Oryzias latipes: one gene and its partner. The protein of the gene in region 1 purifies or fractionates together with the protein of each later gene. This does not show direct contact. Links are inferred from orthologs where the notes say so. Each region holds a gene or a part of one and is shown in the gene's direction. Other genes may lie near its edges.

Region 1 (4,104 bases):
TAGCGGCTCAGTAAATGCTGGAAAAAACAACAAACACTATTTTAAGTATGCAAAAAAAAAAACTGTTATAAAAGGTGTCGGGGAGTTTTTTTTTGTTTTTTTTTCATTGATTAGTTCATCCCTAGTTGATTAGCAGCACTTAAAGATCTAGTTTTATGCTGTGGTTCCTGTCCTCACATTTGATACTTGCACTGACATTTGCATAAGAAGATGACCCCAGCGTCAGAGATGTTAGGTCCCATTCTGATTTGTTGCCAGAATCCAGCAAGTTTCCCACTTTTCCTGATTGACGAGCAGAAAGTTAATCAAATTCCTTCATTCAGAGATCGTCAACGAAACAACTTCACGAGATTTAAGCAGCAAATGGTCCATCGGAAAAAAGTGCAGAAACGGAAATCTCTTGAAGTTTGGAGGCGACTGTGACAAAGATGGAGTTCACTTCAGCTTTCAGAAGACTGTTTCCATCTGCGTCCAGCAGCGCAGCTACAAGCAGACCTGCGGTTCTACCTGAACCGCTTTGATGAAGTATTTCCCTTTTTCAGCTTTTTCCTTCTTTGACTGAATTCCTTAATTTTTTACGGCTTCTTTTTCTGTATAATTGTGCTACGATTGTCACTTTAAATGTACCACTAGATCTATAATCTGTTAACTATTCAGAATTTGAAGCTCTCCAAATGTTGTCTGGAGCTTTACAGTCACTAAACGTGAGTGCAGTTCCAGGACCATGGACAGGGCCTGGAGGGGCCAGTTGTTCTGTTACCGACTGATCCTCCAGAAGTTTGCTTTTCTAGACAGTTTAGTTCCTTCAACTAAACCATCTGTACTTCTGTTGTCTGTGTTTGGGAGCTTTGGAGACATAAATTCTTTATGATCTGATAATCGAACCCATTTTGCAAACTGACTTCATGTGGGTATCTTTGCATTCCCTTGCTCCACAGGATTTTCTTTGTTTAACTGCCACACTTCAGCTCTCAGACACTTTTCCCGGGAATAAGTGCTTCCTTGTCCCTCTTCGCTTTTTGCTGAGCTAAGACAAAGAAAATGGGGGGGCATAAAAGGGGGGAGTAATGAAGCCAGCAGATAAACTTGATGATGGCAGCAGAAATTGTCGTTTGCGCTCATGGCCAGTAATTGTGGTCAAGACACCATGACCTTACTCATGACTAAGAGGAATGGGGGTGGGAGGCAGTTTGTGTTCCATGGGGGGGGGCTTTGCTCCTATAGAGATCATAAAGTAAATGGATATCTAAGCGGCAGACATGAGAGCACTTGTAGGATCATAGGAGTTATGGCATGCAGCACACTACTTTGATTTTTCTGAGATTTTAATCTACTTTAGGTCTAAAATAACATTATCAGTTTGATTTTTTATGAAGTTTTCCATTATTTTTCATAGTTTTTTGTTATTCTTGTTCTATCATTTCTTTACAGTGGGCTGCACAGTCTCACCCCACAGTGATCCTGGTTCGAGTCCCAGCTAGGACCTTTCTAAGTGGATTTTGCATGCTCACCTTGTACATGTGTCGGTTTCCTCCCACAGTCCAAAAACATGCTTCATGGGTTAATTTAGGATAAGAAATTGTTCCTATAGGTGCGCATCTGTGGCTCTGCAACAGACTGGCAACCTGTTTGCTCCACCTTTGCCCAGTAGTAGATGGATAGGCACTATAGGAATCCTTGGACTTTCTTACAGGCTTTTTATCTTTTTTTCCCTCCTCCAATACCTCAGAAACCCTAAAAAAATCCAGATATTTGGCGGATCCCCTGATGCTTTTTTATGGAAAACTTGAGTCAAGTTATTTTGCTTTGATAAATGAGCTCAGCAGAAGCTTTGGAAGGTCTCCACTCCTTTAAAATCTGTTCTGCTCTGAGTCCTCACGTCTTCCTGAGTGAGTTTCCACTCCTCCACCCACAGACATTAATATCATCCCTGACGCTTCATGTCAGCACTCACCAGCCCTTTGGCTGTCCCAGGACACAGAGGGGGATGCTGATGCACACCATCCAGGACCCCGGAGTCCTGAACTGTTGCCTCTGCTCACACTTCAAGAAGGGGGGATGGAGCAACGGGGGCAGAGGAGATCTCCATCACTGTATCCCTCTTCTCCTCCTCATTATCAACACACACCCTTCCCCTCCAGCCCCTCCCTCATCCACCATCCTGCTCCCAGAGGTGTCTGGTGACTCCTGGCCATGTTCTGTTGCTCCTCCCTTCACGTGGAGGTTGGAGGAGAGAGGGAGAAATAGAGAGGCTCCAGCCCACTACCAGTATGTCCCCAGGGGCCCTCAGCCTCCTTGCCTGGCCGCCCCTCCTGCTGCTCAGTACAGCTGTGTTACCAGACCCCGACCAGCTGGGATCTCAGAGAGAGGAGTGTGTGCTAGCTCTTGTTTACGCTCACTTAAGTGAAGCGCTGAGACTCCAACTCCAGCTATAGCTACCATACCTGCCTGGTGGTGCTGAGGAGACCCCTCGTGGAGATGGCTGCAGCAGCCCAGGCCCTGGCTCTTCTTTTACCCCTGGTGCTCGCCATCCTGAGTCTGTCGCCCGTGCCCGCTCTGGGAAGATGCCCTCTGGCTTGCCGCTGTTCATTTGCCATGCTGCAGTGCCTGGAGCCCAACCGGATCACCAGCATCCCACCACTCGACCCAATGGAGAGTGAAAATGTGACAGAGATGTAAGTAGCATTCAACGCCACACCTCCACCTCAAGCTCCCAAACACAGTTGTGATGGTCTGCTTTGGCTCTTGTTTTCATTTCTGATAAAGTAGTTTTAAAAGCCTCCAAAAACCTCCTGAAGGAAAACGTTTGCGCTCTGCAGCTCTCAGTTTCCACACTGAGAAAGTCTCAGCAAACTTTCCTGCAACAGTTGGAGGTTCATGTCATGTCAACTGCAACTTTAGCTGGCTTGAACTTGGATCAGCTTTTTAACCGATGGAGATGCGATGTACGAAGTTTGCGAGGATGATCTGCATCTTTAGAATAAACTTTTTCAAACTTTATTTTTCACAAATTAGTGAAACAAAGTTACTCAAACAAAGTTTGAATAAAAATATTTGTATGATCACAGATAGAGAATGAACGTTTGATGCAGGAAAGTCTTTTTATGAACACATAATCTTTAATCTTTATTGTTCTCGATCTGTTTATGGTATTCGGAATCCAGGTGTTTTTGTTTGTCAAGTGTTTAAAAATATCATCTCTTCATTTCTGTGACTCAAATCTCCTGCTTGAGACTCTGAGGTTGTTCTGACCCAAAGCAGATGAAGGCTGATGAATATGATTCCATGTTTTGGAAGCTCTTTTGCTGGCCATGAAAATGGGCTTTTGGTTCCACATTTGAGGAGGGTTTGTGTGGAAGGAAACTCACTTGTCGCTCAGGTGAGCTGAGACTTTCCACTCAACCCCAGAAAACTGCTATTTTACCGAGTTTTTTTAAAGCTCTGCTCAGAAAAGGCAGAGGGAAACTGACCACCTGTGATTTTAAAGAGGGCTGCTGTATTATTAAGCAACCCACCATCAGCTCCAGCACAGAAAACTAAATGTCACTCCCTGCACCGCCACGCTGTTCTCTCTTTGTTCTCCTTCTCCGAGCTGAGCAATTAGCACTTGTTAAGAAGGAACTACGCCCATTTCAGTGGAGCAAGTCAATTAACGGCCAGTTCCTTTCAACCTATGCAGAGCTGTAACCCCCCCCCCCCCCCCCCTTTCAGCGTCTTGTCGTCCTGCTACCTCACAGGTATTTCCTTGTGTCTTCAGTTAAACACAGAGCTCGGGCCAAGGCTTGACATTCTCTCCCAAACGCCCAATCAATAAGAGAGCAGGCTGGTGTTTACTGCGCCGCTCTGCATGCCAGCAAACAGCAACACTTCTCGGTATTGGCAGAGCAAGGCAAGACAAACAAGGGGCCATTAACCGAGGGACAGGAGCCGAAATTCATCATAGGCAGAGTTATAAATTCAATTTTGTGAATTGCCAGTCAATGCCTCCACTCGGGAACAATAGATGATATATAACCCACTTGGCTCAATCCAATAAGCACGGCCAGTGGGGTAATCCTGGGCCCACCTGTCCTTTAATCACATTATGGCTGCGTGGGTCAGTCA
Region 2 (4,057 bases), on another chromosome or scaffold:
CTTCTAATGCAAATCTCAAACAAATTTGTGAACTTTTTGTTCTCATCTCACAGCTAACAAGTATGTGGAAAGTAAATGCGAGGATGTGATCCGAGAGATGCAGCGGTGCTGTGCAGCGCAAACTGGAAACTCCGTCTGCTGCTCAGGTTTCAAAGACTCCAAACTGACAAACTTCAAACCGAGCAAAAATAGCTGACACCACCTGCTGATGACTTGCATTCAATGGAAATAAAAAGTATATAAAATTGTCTAGTTCATCTTCTTTTCTCTGTTAGATTGAACATTTTCTAGCTATTTTATTCAAACGTGTTGTCACAGGTTATGATCGCAACACCGGCGATGAAGAAAAAAGGAAAACATTCACAAACTGATCTTGTTTTCCTTTCTTAGAACTTGAACTTTTCCTTCTTGGGAACGGACAAACTAAATTATCATCTATCAGTCTGGAGCACACATCTATATCTGAAACATAACTATATAAAAATCATATCTGGCCATTTATATCAAGAACGAAAAATAGCAGTAAGCAAATGAATATCATACTCTTAGTTTACCATATTACGTAGGTACATTTTCTAAATCTTATATGTAAAAATAATAATCTTCTAATATGTGTTCAGATCAGCATTCTAATTTATTCTTAATTCGCCTTGAAAAATGTAATCATTCGGGTCATGGTGCTTTTCTTTCTTTTTTATATTTAAATATAATTTCCCTTTTCTTTAATTTTTATTGAACAATTGCAACATACAGAACAAAGAAATGCAACAATTATGCACAGATAATGTACATTACAATTCTGAATACAGAATAAACGTGTTACATGCTTAAGAAGATTCTAATTATTTCTAACAATCACAAAAGGGAATAAAAAATTAAAATAAATAAAGAAAATAGAACTAAACATAGAAAAAAAATGATAAAATAAAAAGAGAAAATGCGAGAGTAAACTTGTGTTATTATTCCAAAAGATTTACAAATGTTAATTGTTTTTTGAGCTTTTGTGTTTTTTGAAGCTGAAATTAAGTTTAAATATTGCTGCAGTTCCAGTTTTAACACAAATAAATCAGTTTTTTATAGGAGAATTTGCTTTTATGAATATCAAATTTAGCCATAAATAACAACATGTTTATACAAAAGAAAGCATCACAGTCTTTCAGATTAAAACTATGAAAACCAAATATTTTCCGTTTTTGGTCATTGTTTCCGGTGTCTAAATTACGACGTACAATGTACGCGCCTTACGTATGACGTAAACGGAAGCTTTGGGGAGAATTTCTTCTAGAACTCTGTAGCAGCTTCCCGTTAGCTCTTGCTTGGGAGTAACAAATCAATTCGCACGACCAAATTTGGAGTACAGAAACACAGAGCACCAACACACATTTCTGAAGGGTTCGAGTGTGAATATTTCTTAGGTCGGTATTTTAGCGAGCGTGATTTAGACGCCAACTTAACCGAGTTCTAGTCGAAGCTAGCGCTGCTTCTTCTTGCTGCAGGATGTCCAGGATAGATTACAGCGTGTGGGATCACATTGAGGTATCGGATGATGAAGATGATACCCACCCAAATATTGACACTCCCAGTCTCTTCAGATGGAGACACCAGGTAAATATAAAAGCTTTTCGGAAAAGTGCTTAGCGTGATCGTTAGCTTTCACTTTCTGCTTGTAATTCTTCAGCCATGCTAATTTTCCTACTTACTTCGGATTCCTGAATTTGAACTCAAACTGGACAAGAGCTGATGAGTATTTGAAATTGTTTACACATGATGTTCACGCGTGTGATCTGTTCCTTAGGCGCGCGTGGAGCGAATGGAAGAATTCCAGAAGAAAGGCGAAGACCTAAAAAAAGGACTCGCCGAATGTCGGCGTAAACTCACGGAGTTACAGACAAAGATCCAGGACCTGAACCTTTCCGATGGTGTCAAAACAGAGCTCACCAAATACCAAGCCGATGAGAAGAAGCTGAAAAAAGAGGAGCGGGACTGGGAGAAAAAGCTGGATGAGTACTACAGGGAGGAGAAGAAGATGCCGTGGAACGTGGACACACTCAGCAAGGAAGGGTTCAGCAAGGTGACTTCTATATGCAGATAGAAACCTGTGGTTTTCTAGCAAGAGGTTGGAAAATCCAATGAAGCTCACATTAGTCCGTTGACATTTTATAAACAAAGTAGTTATTTCAAATCAATGCTAGATGGTGTCAAATCTTGATCTTTGTTCTCGCTTATAGAGCATAGTGAACATAAAACCTGAAACTTCGGAAGATACGGAAGAAGAAAAGGAGAAAAAACACAAAACATTTGTTGAAAAACACGAGAAGCAGATTAAACATTTCGGTAAGCCTGAGTAACTTCCATAAGGTCATTCTGTTGTCTTTTCCCTTCTTTAAAAACAATTTAAGTCTATTTTTATTAACTTACAGGGATGTTGCGACGATGGGACGACAGCCAAAAGTATCTCTCTGACAATCCTCATCTTGTATGTGAAGAAACCGCTAACTATCTCGTCATCATGTGCATTGATCTGGAAGTTGAGGAGGTAAACACATATACTTATATTTTTATTTTATATTCTTGTATCTTTGTTTTTTAGCATATCTTCTCCTCAAAGTGTGTGCTCCTGTTTGCAGCTGTTTAGGTTTTTCATTTCTTAGTAAAGCTTTGCTTTCCTATTTGCAGAAACACGCACTGATGGAGCAGGTGGCCCATCAGACCATTGTCATGCAGTTCATTCTTGAGTTGGCAAAAAGCCTCAAAGTGGATCCCCGCGGTTGCTTCCGTCAGTTTTTTGCAAAGATTAAAGTAAGCAAGTTTATTTAATTTTATTGTGTTTAATTGCTCTGAACTTATTCATTTTAAAGAAGATGTTTGGGCAGGAAAAGAAAGGGTGCTTTCATAAACAAGCAGTACAAAAATCAAAGGCAGTCTGTCTGTTATTCCTGGACTAAAACAGATTATTTTAAAAGTCCTTTTTTTTTTACCAGAAGTTTCTGTAAAATTTTATACTTCTGGTTTGGAATGTTCACATTTGTTCATTTGTTTTCTTACAGACCGCAGATCAGCAATACCAAGATGCTTTTAACGACGAGCTTGAGGCGTTTAAAGAACGGGTGAGAGGAAGAGCAAAGATTCGCATAGAAAAGGCCCTGAAAGAATACGAGGAAGAGGAGCGGCAGAAGCGGTTGGGGCCTGGAGGCCTGGATCCAGTTGAAGTGTATGAGTCGCTGCCTGCTGTAAGTGCATTCTAACAAGCAGGGTTTCATTTTTTGTCTCTATTGAGTTTGAAATGCTCACATAGTTTGCCTTCAACCACAGGAAATGCAGAAATGCTTTGATGAGAAGGACATCCAAATGTTACAAGAAGTCATCAGTAAAATGGATCCAACTGTAAGCTATACAGTTTTGTCTGGTTGAATCTTTTTGGATTTAGGTGCTTTTTTTTTTTTTAAGAAATCCCTGTTAACATGTGACTGTCGTGTCTTTTAGGAGGCAAAACATCATATGAAGCGTTGCATTGACTCAGGTCTGTGGGTCCCCAACTCTGGGGAAGGAAAGGAGGAAGAAGGGACCTATGAAGAGGTGAAACGGGAGCCGGAAGAAACAAAGGAGTGATCACAATGGATTTGTTGTTTGCAATTGTATTCACTTACTGTACCCCAGTCTCATTTAATGTAAAACAGCTTGCCAATAAACACCATCATTTCTTTAAACTTTTTGAGTACAAATTTGAATTATAAATGTGTAATAAGTCACATATTTGAAACAACAAAAACAAACTGTGTTTCTGCATCGCCTGAGCTGAATGTTTTTCCTTCATTTGTTATGCTTTGTTGGTATTGGTGCATAGTTGCAAGCTTAAGTCTAACATTGTCACATTTTTTTGCAACAGATATTTTATGTGACATTTGTACAACATTCACCGTTAAGTTCCAATGTTTTGATTTTTTTTTTTTCTTTCCTCCGGGTCTTTTACATTATTCAGGACAACAAAAACATTGACTTGTGCTCAAATAATCATTCAAACTGCTTGATTGATGAGCTTTATAGAACAGCTGGTAAA

The links.
Region 2: the proteins of ntrk1 (region 1) and cdc37 purify together in Homo sapiens (affinity purification with mass spectrometry; 3 studies listed by BioGRID and IntAct, with this or other methods). This does not show direct contact. The link is inferred for Oryzias latipes from reciprocal best matches to the Homo sapiens genes NTRK1 and CDC37.

Annotation. Positions count from the first base shown.
Region 1 is NC_019874.2:29,079,821-29,083,924, reverse strand, and holds the start of ntrk1 (high affinity nerve growth factor receptor), read left to right. Parts: upstream 1-1,295; 5' UTR 1,296-2,478; coding exon 2,479-2,675; intron 2,676-4,104. UniProt on the Homo sapiens protein: Receptor tyrosine kinase involved in the development and the maturation of the central and peripheral nervous systems through regulation of proliferation, differentiation and survival of sympathetic and nervous neurons.
Region 2 is NC_019866.2:8,383,065-8,387,121, reverse strand, and holds the start of cdc37 (hsp90 co-chaperone Cdc37), read left to right. Parts: upstream 1-1,256; 5' UTR 1,257-1,415; intron 1,416-1,496; 5' UTR 1,497-1,497; coding exon 1,498-1,605; intron 1,606-1,795; coding exon 1,796-2,071; intron 2,072-2,228; coding exon 2,229-2,334; intron 2,335-2,420; coding exon 2,421-2,536; intron 2,537-2,676; coding exon 2,677-2,799; intron 2,800-3,047; coding exon 3,048-3,230; intron 3,231-3,312; coding exon 3,313-3,384; intron 3,385-3,483; coding exon 3,484-3,609; 3' UTR 3,610-4,057. Other genes in the region: cmc4 (cx9C motif-containing protein 4), read left to right, coding at 54-196. UniProt on the Homo sapiens protein: Co-chaperone that binds to numerous kinases and promotes their interaction with the Hsp90 complex, resulting in stabilization and promotion of their activity. Inhibits HSP90AA1 ATPase activity.